2 linked regions of the Danio rerio genome follow. The main gene of each other region encodes a partner of the protein of the gene in region 2 in a complex. Links are inferred from orthologs where the notes say so. Each region holds a gene or a part of one and is shown on either strand. Other genes may lie near its edges.

Region 1 (5,394 bases), on a different chromosome or scaffold from region 2:
TATAATATAATTGCTGTAATGTTGTGTTTAACATTTTTATAATACAATTTTATGAACAATTAACACATTTATATAGGCATTGGGGCATAAATGAGGCAGTGTATGTTTTGGTTTCATATTATGTTAAGATTAAATGTAAGTGTTCTTGTAATTAAAATATCCAAAACCCAGTAAAAGTGTTTTTTTGCTAACTTGTGTACTTGCTTTATCTCAAATGTTAAGTAGAAATTGAGAGAAGTGAGCAGTTTTAACTTGACACAACCGTGTCCAGTGTTGCCATGCTAATTATGTCATACATTTGGTGGCAAAGAGAGCTGAACGTGCTGCAATTTAAGAAACTACAAAAAACAAAAAAATAGCTATTACAAAAAACGGCAGCAAATTGAGAAAAGATCTTCATCGGTTTGACAGCACACGTGCTGCATTTTCGCACAACGCAAACAAATAATAAAATACGCTGCATTTTCACACAACGCAAACCTTTTACGACACAGTTTTTGGGTCACCTTGAAACATTTTCGTTGAGTCAAGTTTTTTGTGTTGTGAGCAAAATCAGTGCGTTTTCGTAAATTGTTTGAGTGTGACAAAATGCAGTGCGTTTTCGTATAAATTGTTTTATTGTAAAAAATGCAGTGCATTTTTGAAAACGAGTATGACAAAATGCAGTGCGTTATTTAAATTGTGTGTGACAAAATGCAGTGCATTTTCGTAAATTGTTTGCATTGTGAGAAAATGCAGTGCATTTTCGTAAACTGAGTGACAAAATGCAGTGCGTTTTTGTAAATTGTTTGAGTGTGTCAATGCAGTGCATTTTCGTAAATTGTTTACGTTTTGAGAATTCAGTGCGTTTTCGTAAATTGTTTGGGTTGTAAAAAATGCAGTGCGTTTTCTTAAACTGTTTGCGTTGTGAGAATGCAGCTGTTTTATTATTTTTTTTGTGTTAAAAAAGCAGTGCGTTTTTTATTTATTTATTTTTTTTTATGTTTGCGTTGGGAGAATTCGCAGCACAGCTGTCAAATGGATAAGGATCTTTACTAAATTTGCTTGCGAGTTTTGTAATTGCGCGTGTTTACTTAAATTGCAGCACATTGAGCTCTCTCGGCCACTGTACATATACCCTTGATTTATGTTTTGCTTTTATAGAAAACTGAAAATGACGGTCCTTGTTTTATGTCGCATATTTTATTAGACTAATCAGAGCAGCAGTATAACAGAAGCCTAAAATTTATTTAGTATGATAAAACTGCTGTGCTGCTTCACATGATCACAATTTGGGGGAAAAAAGGAAGAGGTTGACTGTGGCATAATAAAAGCTCCACTGTTTTTCTGCTATGTCGCACTCTTCTCTTATCAGCAATTGCTTGATTGCTTGGAAGTCCTAATTCCAAAATGTCATTTATTTCTTTAGAGGCAAAGCAGAATTTTCATTATCGTTATTTCAGTCATCAGTGTGACCTGATAGAATCATTTGTAAAACAACATAATTATTTAAAATATTTGTTTGAATATTAGTTTCCTAAACTGAAAGTGCAACCCATAATTTAACATTTTAACATACATTTGGATAAAGATAGCCAGAATGGCTTTAAATTCCCCTAAAATTCAAAGTATTGAGCCATAAATTATAAATCTTTTTGAATAATTACAAACTTTTGATTTGTAGTGTGTATTACACTTTTTTTTGTAAATAGGGTGTCACACAGACTTCCTCAACGGCTGTCTTGTTTTGTTTTTTGTAGCCGGTCAAAGTGTCCCAGGGATCTACCTATAGTGAGCTGCTCTCCGTCATTGAGGAGATGAGCCGTGAAATTCGGCCTACCTACGCCGGCAGCAAAAGTGCCATGGAGAGACTGAAGAGAGGTACTCCAAAGCCTTCTGAGCACAGTACAGCATGCAGCACATTTGTAACAGTCAGTGACGTTTAGCCCCCTGGAGTAATGTGAGCCTAAGGGCAGTCGAGAGAGTTGTTCTCAGTTTTTCAGTTCTGTGTTCGTGCAGTGTTGCTTTTGCCTGCTCTAAGAAAGGCTTTTGCATTTTACTCTGACTTATTGTTCCTAATGCTGCTTTGTGCCAAGCCTTATACACTACCTGACAAAAGTTTTGTCGTCGATCCCAGTTGTAAGAGTAAAAAAACTTGATCTCTGGTTGATCTTTTGGAAAAGTGGCAGAACATCGATTTCTTTTTTTTCAGATGAATCATGTTTTGAACTGCATCCCCAATCATTATAAATACTAAAGATGACCTATTGGAACGCGCTTGGACCCACGATTCTCTCAGAAATCAGTCTAGTTTGATAAAGGAAAAATCACGTTTGAGGTTATATTCAGTATGGGGGCGTGCGAGAGATCTGCAGAGTGGATGACAACATCAATAGCGCGAGATATCAAGACATTTGTGCTGCCCGATACATTACTAAACCACAGAAGAGGGCAAATCCCTCAGCAGGATAGCAGTCCTTATACATCAACCTCCACATCAAAGTTCCTGAAAGCAAAGAAGGTCAAGGTGCTCCAGGATTGGCCAGCCCAGTCACCAGATATGAACTTTATTGATCATGTCTGGGGTAAGATGGAGGCAGTGAATATGAATCCAAATAATCTTGATGAACTCTGGGAGTCCTGCAAGAACACTTTCTTTGCCATTCCAGATGGATTTAATAATAAGTTATTTGAGTCATTGCAGAGATGTAGGGATGCAGTCGTCCAAGCTCTTGGGAGTCACAATATTACATACACAATATTAATTCTTTATAATAATATTAATTTCTTACATTTATATAGCACTTTTCTAGACTCTCAATTGGCTTTACACATCGGTGGGGGATCTCCTCATCCACGACCCGTGTGCAGCTTCCACCTGACGCGGCCATATTGCACCAGACCACACACCAGCTGATTGGTGGAGAGGAGACAGAGTGATGAAGCCAATTATGATATGGGAATGTTTAGGAGGCCATGGTGGACAGACCACATGCTTTTAATGACCACAGAGAATCAGGACCTCAGTTTAACATCTAATCTGAAAGACGGAGCTCACTGAGCAGCTGCAGTATAGAGTCCCCTTCACTATACTGAGGCGTTAGGACCCACACAGACTGCAGGTTGAGTGCCCCCTGCTGATCTTACAAACACCTTTTCCGGCAGCAACCTAGCTTTCCCATGTGGTCTCCCATCCAGTTACTGACCGGGCGTAGCACTGCTTGGCTTTAGTGGGCGACCATGTGAGATTTGCAGAGAGCTCGCTGCTGGCTTTTTCCACTGCACCATGACTTTATATTCTATACTGGACATTATTTCTGTTAAGTGACAAGACTTTTGTCAGAGCTTATTGTCCTAATTAAATCATTAAAAATCAAGGCATGATCATATTTTATTTTGGTAAAATAAGTGTAATCTAGAGGCCTTTGCCTTTCATATAAGCCACTTCTGGTACCAAATGATCAACCAGAAGTCAAGTTACTATTTGTTGTTCCTAAAACTTGGATAAGCAGCAAGACTTGTGTCAGGTAGTGAAAATACATGCTTGGTGTTTAACAGTGATGGAAAAGGAGATTTATAAGACCTACAGGCCTAAAGCACCATCTGCTGTTAAAAATTAAGCTCAGAATTGCTTCCAGACAGAATTTCGACATATTACAAATATCTCAGAATTGATCCATGAATCAAACGACACCGATTAGTCGTCCCAGCTCCTACAGTTAGTTCTGGAATTTTTGCAGTCTGAAAACCATTCTGGAAAATGTATATCAGTGATCAATGTAACATGAGGATGCACAATGCTATCACATTTAAGCAAGTTGCATTTTTCAATCAATAACATTGACTAAGCAAATATTTAAATAAGTACATTAACACTAGTTTTAATGTCAAGAGTAAAGCTGTGGTCACACTAGAGTTTGTGTGTGCGAAATTCTGTCGTGTGGCAATGCGAAAAGGGGCGGGATTAAACAAGATGATTAGCCATTTAAAAAAGCAAGCGATTGGTCCATGTTTTCAATTCCTGTTCAAAGAGGTCATGTTTTCACTCTTGATTGGTCCCACGCAGTCAAGTGATGTGCTTTTGCAGGTCAGAGTTCACCAATTTTGAACTTTGCATTGCAGCGACCTGTAAAACTTGACGCATGACCCTGCGTTTCTGATCTGACGCATTCGCGTGCGTATGAATGGAAGTCTAAGAGGACGAAAGTCCAATGTGTGACCGCAGCTTAAGCGTACATTATTACTCAGGATTTGTTAACCCTGGGTAAATTGTGAAGCGTGTTCAATATTTCCTAAGTGTGTGAAAAGCCCTAGAATTTCTGTTAAGCTTTTGTACCGCCAGATAAATGAAGTCTGGTGTTTATCACTCATTTTTAATACAGTGTTAAGCTGTAAGGTATATATTGTGTTACTGTCGCTATATATTACGGAATAATTTTGACATGCACTGCCATCTAATGGCAATGTTAAATTTTCTGCATTTAAGACTTGTTATGAAAATATAAAAGCAAATGGCCTGACATTGCTCAAATTAATAATTGAGAGTGTTTTTATTATCATGAGGTTTTATTCAATGTGGCTTAATATGTGTTTGTGTTTTTCCTCAGGTATCATCCACGCACGTGCTCTCGTCAGGGAGTGTCTAGCGGAGACAGAGCGAAGTGCTCGCACATAACATCAACACACACACACATCCTCCCTCTGGTACTCATCTCCCCATTGTTCTGTCTCTCTCTGCCCAGCTATTTACAACACCATCTCTTTCTGTCTTTCTTATTGACCTTTGTTCCATTATGCATAGCCATCTCCCCGACGTACACCTCATGTAGTGTTACTGCGATTAGCATAGACATTTTTTAAGCCCAATTTTTGCAATTCTGTATTTAAATAAAAAACAAAATCAAGCATTTTGTCTGAATTTCAATTCCAGAGAACAAGTGTTTGTTTTAGAAAGGGAGATGGGTGATTTTCATTCATTTTATTTGGCTTTAGTCACGACGTACATGCAAAATATAGATAAAAAGCATTATGAAAATGTTTATTTGTAGTGACATATATATATAGGTATGACAATGACGGTTCGTTAACCACACAAAAACGAGAGAAGTGGATTCTTTGACGTGCTATCATCACAGTGTTAACAACGTGTCTTACGTCTTTGATTTCTCAACCTTAAAAAATTAAGTATACATAAACAATAAGGATAATATCACTAAAATAATAAACATGATAAATATAAAAGAATAACATGAAAATTGCAGGGTTACAGTTCAGTCTAGCGTTTTACTATCTTCGGATTGTCTTTCATTGTTGTTTCATTCAGACAGCCATTGGTCAACAGCACATTTAATGCACAGGTTTGAGTAATTCTTTCATCAGCTGTATTCAAATACTTATTATACAAATTAAGAAGGC
Region 2 (6,520 bases):
TTTTGGGAAACATTGCCCAATTGGTGTATGGTGTATTTCACGCAGGTGAGTGGGCTTGACAAACCACCTGTTCATGACACACTCTTTTTCTCTCCATATGCACCAGACACCTTACAGTATGAGCAACCCTTACTTGAAGACATTGTGTAATTCTGAGTGTGCTCCACACAGGTGAGTGGGCTTCACAAACCACCTGCAGGACACATTCTCCTTTCGTATGCTCAGACAAAAAAAAGAGAAGAAAAAATTAATAAAAAAACTAATAAACTTGTTAAAATGTTAATATACTGCTACTCTCTGATGATTTTTAAGGGCTTCTTTTATTTTTCTTGTCACTTTAGATAAATGCATCTACACTGGATAAAAGCTTTCATTTAAAAATGAAAAAAAAAAAATAATAATAATACTTGGGTAATGGTTCACATCTAAACTTGACCCAATGAAAAATAAATAATTTGCCTTAAACATTATTCTCTTTCTCTATCACAACACTTTTATTTAACCTGGTACAAAGCATTTTTGTCTTGTTAAAGAAAATCAATTAATTAAAATTCTCTTTTTGTTCTAAAAAATAAGATATAGCTTTAATCAAAACAACAATTGCCATAAAATGTTCATTCTTCCAATAAAAAAAAATAGGGTAATGGTTTCACATCTAAATTTGTTCACTTTAGCCAATAAAAAATAAATCATTTGCCAATGTTTTTTAAAGACTGTTAGGCCAGTGGGCCGAAGGTAAATATAGTTGCCATTGGTAATTTCCTAATTTATTGAATAATATTTGAAAAAATAACTAGAAAGCGTTGCGTTTTATAAACTAATATAGCTTAATTCTTTAACATTTAATAATGAACCTATTACAGTATATACAAAAACAATCTCATTTACAACAGAATGGAGTTACACTAGTTTTTGTCTTGATTTGCTCACCAGTGTCTTCTGTATGGCTCTCTATCTGTCGAGTGACATCATTTACATAAAAAAATAAATAAATCTGCTTCATTTACAGCTTTTAATTGGAACTTTAATTTCAGTTAGCTTTTTTGTAGCTCAGCAATAAAACGAACAAAATAGATTACGTTCAATCAGAAATGACGATCATTTTTTAAAAGCATTCACCCCAATCCTCTCCATTCTTCTCAGATGGAATGGTGGGCCAAATCAAAGGTTACAATGGGCCAACTTTGGCCCGCAGGCCCTTATTTGGGCATCTCTGCATTACACACTACCCTCATTGATGGTGATGGTCAATATTTTAGAAATAAATGAAATATTGGGCTTAAAAAACAGAAGCCAACTCAAACATGAACACACAACGTTTATAATAAAACAACCGATATATTTTAAATAATATAACATGAACTAACTCTAAACCATTTCCCATTATGCACCTGGCTATAGTGCTGTGGGACACGTCGTTACTGTGTGAGTAACCTTCAAATTTTACATTGGTCAAAATATTTCTTAGTTGAGCTCATAATCAAGTATAAGTGTTTTGAACTTAACATTTATTAGTTATAAAAATAAAACAAATAATATTAAGCTGAAATAAAAGATACAGTTTTGGTAACACTTTAATTTGATGGTCCATTTGAGTTTTAGTAGACTGTCTGCTTAATATCTGTTAATACTGCTTTTTCAACAGACATTTAACTGACTAAGAAACTTTGTCAACTTACACTAACCCCAACCTAACAGTCTGCTTATAATCTAATGAGAATTAGTTGGCATGTAGATGCAATGTAACTTAAATTCAACAAACGGACCATCAAAATAAAGTCTGACCAAATATTTAAGTACTTCTTGAAAAAAAAGTTCAGTGTACTTAATGAATAAACATGCATAAATGCATACTGTATGTACACTAAAAAAAGTTGACAAAAAGACAACAAATATCTTAATGTTACCTTTTTTTTAGAAAACTAGTCAGTTTTCAACTTAAAACCCACAAAGTTTAACTTAAGATTTTTAGTCAGTTTAATTGATTTAGGTTGAGATGACTAGAAAAGTTCATTTGATTCAACTAAAAAAAATAAAGGCAGCAAGATTTGTTTTCGAAGTGGACAGTTTAAAGACTTGGTCCTCTATTTTGACGATCCATGCGCAAAGTCCAAAGCGCAGGGCGCAAAAGCATTGAGGACGTGTCAAAATCCACTTTTGCTATTTTAAGGATGGAAAAATTCTCTGCGGTGCATGGTCTAACAGAGTTGAACTTATTCTCTTAATGAGTTATGGGTGTGTTTTGAGAATAAACCAATTAGAGTGTCTTCTCCCATTTCCTTTAAGATTCAGTTGCGTTGCACCATGACGAGAAAACAGTTAAACAGCTCTTCTGCCATGTGAGAATGAGAGAATGAGCCTCCTCATTCTTTACCTTCGCTAAGAAAACATGTTGCACGCACAGACATCCATTAGCCTATTCATAATTAATTTAGTTTGTTAAGCTCAAAGATTTGTTTCAACACTACTTCTAAATTTGGTTCTAATTTCCAGCAAAGAAATAAATGACCAATAATAACGAAGTGTGGTCAATAAACGAGTTATATCCTAATACACATGCTATGCCCCATATGGTCTAAAACCTTTTTTAGACTAGAACGCCTATGGTCGCACATAAGAGCGCAAACGCAATTGCTATTTAAACAGCGTGGGGCAAAACGTTGAAGCTGAAACTAGCAAACAACAATTGCGCCGCTTTTGGTCCATTGTGCGACCCTTATGTTTTCAGTTACAGGCCATCTTAAAAATTAACCTAAGCACTGATTGTTTCGGTTAATTTAAAATTAAGACTAAGTTTATGTTTTTTAGTTCTGTTTACTTTAAATAGATAGTTCACCCAAAAGTGAATAGTTACTTATTACTTATTTACTCATTCTCAAGTGGTTTAGTTTTTGGTTGCTCTATACACAATTCACAATTCTGCCCTGGCCTATGTCAGTGAACTTATTAGGCCTTATTCAGCTTGTAGACCATTAAGATCCCATGACCAGTTTCTTCTGTCTGTCCCTCGGTCTCGCTGCAAATCAAAAGGTGATCGAGCTTTCTGTGTTGCGACCCCAAGGCTCTGGAACAGTCTCCTTCTAAACATCAGGATTTCTCCTTCATTGGATGCTTTTAAATCTAAATTAAAGACTTATTTTTACTTTCTTGCCTTTGAGTGACGCATGCATGTTATTTTTTATTTTTATTTTAGTATTACTTTTGAACATATACATTCCCTTGTATTTTTAATAACAGTTTTTTTTTGTTTTATTGTCTAGTTGATTTTGTTGTAGAACACTTTGGATCAACTACGGTTGTGTAAAATTGTGCTCTATAAATAAAGTTTGCCTTGCCTTTCCTACCTTTAATGTTTGCTCAGGTAAAGGTTCACACTACAGCGAGTAGAGCAGAGAGTGATGTAGGAAGGATCTTAATTTGTGTTATTGTTTTTTTTTTTATATTTAGCCACCAGCTCGTATCAGTGGTACTCGTGGGGTCCTCCCAACATGCAGTGCCGACTCTGTGCCTCCTGCTGGACCTACTGGAAAAAGTACGGAGGTCTGAAGATGCCAACCAGACTAGATGGAGAGCGGCCCGGACCCAACCGCAACAACATGGTGGGTGAAAAGTGGATGTTCTCCAAAAAAAATAAAAAACAAGCTGCAGTTCTTGACATGAAATCCTCTTCTTCTCTCTCTGCCCCCAAGTCTGTTTTATTCAGTCTGTTTTCTCTTTTGCTGTGCAATTCTGTTTTATTACACCTCTTTGTGACTGTTAAATGAACGCCCTGAAAGAGCGAATGAGCCAAACTGTCTTTCATCTATGTTTAAAGTGGAGTTCGTTCCTTTAAGATATGCAGTATTTAGATTCTTCTGTCAGCAAGAGCTTGACTTTCATATCTCTGTCTGTGTTCAGAGTCCTCACGGTTTGCCCGTGAGACACAGCGGAAGCCCCAAGTTTGCCGTTAAGACCAGGCAGGCTTTCTACCTGCACACGTCTCAGATGACGAAAGCCGCTCGACGCGTCTGCCAGGACCTGCTGAGATCCAAATACTTGGCCAGACACCCGTACACACCTGTCAACACCATCGCTATCAAAGCTGAGTGTGAGTAGGCACATATTTGAAGATTCAGTTCATTAGATGCAGTTGCTTATTGTGGAAATTATGTGTGAAGTATGAGCTGATGTAAACTGTGTAAAACTAATTATAAAGTACTACTAAAATCTAATTGTTAAGATATATAATATATATATATTAAGGGTGTCACGATCTTCCAAATCCTCGATTCGATTACATTTTTGATTCTAAAGGCACGATTCGATTTTCGATTATGAATCATTAATTAATTAATGACCAATTAATTATTTGTAGCCTACCGTTTAAACTACCTGACCTGCATGGTCTTTGTTTTACCCATAAACAAATCATACAGTAAATGAATAAAGGCAAGATACACACATAATTACCACCTGTCAATCACTTTTTCTGCGGGACTCGTGAAAAGGCAGTGATCTGTGTCGTTATAGTGGCGTCGGTAAAAAAGACGCACAACTAACAGGAACCAGCCAACAGTATCTGAGGTGTGCGCTAAAATGACAAGTGAGTAAAAGATTGAAGCAGTCTACTAATCCTCTGACTGCCTGAACCCGCTGTCTCGGAGCCCATGGCTGTGTGTGTGCGTCTGTGTCTGTGTGTGTGTGTCAGAGGTAGAGAGGAAGGAGGGCTGCTCAGAAATGCTACACGCCATTGTGGATCTCAAATCGTTGTCGTTCTAAAATGCCATTTAAAAACAAAGACAGTGTAAACAGGGCCTGAGTGTGTACTTTTCGTGAGCGAATTTGCAATGGGGGCGGGCGGAGGATCGCGATGCCGGTGTTGTCTATATATATATATATATATAGATTTTAGGAGGTCATAATTGTATTACATTTAGCAATTTGAACTTTATAATTAAAAAAAATATATTTTTATTATTGTTTTGATACATTTTCTGTGAAAATCCCTGTGTTTTTCTATAATTGCTAGCAACATTTAAGGAATTTAAAAGTTTGCTTGAATTAGATTTAATATAAAAATTAGATTTTTATATTCTTTATATTAATTGTCCTGTTTTATTAATATAATTTCATAAAGCTCATGAATGTTTTTTAAATATTAGAATTATTGGAAAAATTAAAAATATATTATTTACTCTTTTGTTTACATTCATTTAATGTAATGTAATGTATTTAAAAACTAAGTTTTATTTGTTGTAATGAGTTTAAGAAGTATTACATTTCATTAAAAATATGAAAAATAAAAGCATATTTGACAGCCTTCATTTCGTTGGGGGAAATCATCTGCTTGTTATTTTTTAATGCCTCTTATAATAAATATTTTAATCAGTAAATGTTATACAATTTGGACTTAAAATATCAAAAGGTGATAAGGTGATTTATTATTTTTTTTTAATCACTGGAAATAAATACTATTTGACAACCTCAATTTTGCAATAGAAATAGAATTATCTGATATTTTGTCCTCAGTAATTGTTAATTTTACAAATTATTTAAAAAGATAATTGATTATTAAATATTTTATTCTAAATTTGATTAATGTTTTTTATTGTTATTAGCATATTACACACTAATATTTATGGCCTTTCTGTATTAAATTTTTTTTTTGTCATAGGGCTACATGTTATTGGAAAAATCTGCCATTGCAATATTTAGTTTTTCGGCAGTATACAGTGTGTGTATGTGTGTGTGTGTACACACACACACACACACACACACATATATGTATTTATATTCATTCATTCATTCATTTTCTTGTCGGCTTAGTCCCTTTATTTATCTGGGGTCGCCACAGCGGAATGAATATATATATATTGCTATATGAATACAGTTTCACCAGATGGCTTAAATAGCTCAGGTTATAAATTAACTGCGATGTGACAATTGAGAGAACACACATTGTGATATCGATGCCCTAATTTGTCATAATAGGTGCGTTCAGGTCTTTCTGTGTAAACAAATGAAGCATTTTTAACACTTTACTGAATGAACAAAAATGCTTCTTTGACACTGTACTGATTTACCATATTAATTTGAGCCTAGTCCGAATACATGGTGTTTATTTTTCTCATTTACATATTCCAGGTGCTGTGCGGTTGCCAGATATGTCCAAAAAACCTGCATCTCTAAAGCAGACAGTAAGGAAGCCTTTAGAGTCTGTGGTTAGATATCTCGGTAAGCGAAGCTCTCTTTAAACACTCAATTAGATCTTCATCAACGATCCCTTTTTAATAATATCTTCTCAAAACCTTTTCCAGAGGCGCACCCTCTCCCGCCCAAAGCAGACCCTCCACGAGGAGTCACCATTTCCACAGGCAGCCTGACGCCCATTAAATCCACACCCATCCTCAACAACGGCTCGCCGACCATCCTGGGCAAGCGCAACTACGAGCAGCACAACGGCTTGGATGGTGAGCGATCGGGTTGTGTGTGTGTGTGTGTGTGTGTGTTTGCTGCCCACATTCTTCCTATTCTACTTGCA

Evidence for each region.
Region 1: mta1 (region 2) and cdk2ap2 share a complex: the UniProt entries of both Homo sapiens proteins name them as parts of the nucleosome remodeling and deacetylase (NuRD) repressor complex. The link is inferred for Danio rerio from reciprocal best matches to the Homo sapiens genes MTA1 and CDK2AP2.

Annotation. Positions count from the first base shown.
Region 1 is NC_133176.1:43,109,715-43,115,108, reverse strand, and holds the end of cdk2ap2 (cyclin-dependent kinase 2-associated protein 2), read left to right. Parts: intron 1-1,739; coding exon 1,740-1,860; intron 1,861-4,586; coding exon 4,587-4,654; 3' UTR 4,655-4,883; downstream 4,884-5,394. UniProt on the Homo sapiens protein: Acts as a component of the histone deacetylase NuRD complex which participates in the remodeling of chromatin.
Region 2 is NC_133192.1:39,466,887-39,473,406, forward strand, and holds part of mta1 (metastasis-associated protein MTA1), read left to right. Parts: intron 1-3,447; coding exon 3,448-3,599; intron 3,600-3,897; coding exon 3,898-4,087; intron 4,088-6,123; coding exon 6,124-6,213; intron 6,214-6,296; coding exon 6,297-6,449; intron 6,450-6,520. UniProt on the Homo sapiens protein: Transcriptional coregulator which can act as both a transcriptional corepressor and coactivator. Acts as a component of the histone deacetylase NuRD complex which participates in the remodeling of chromatin.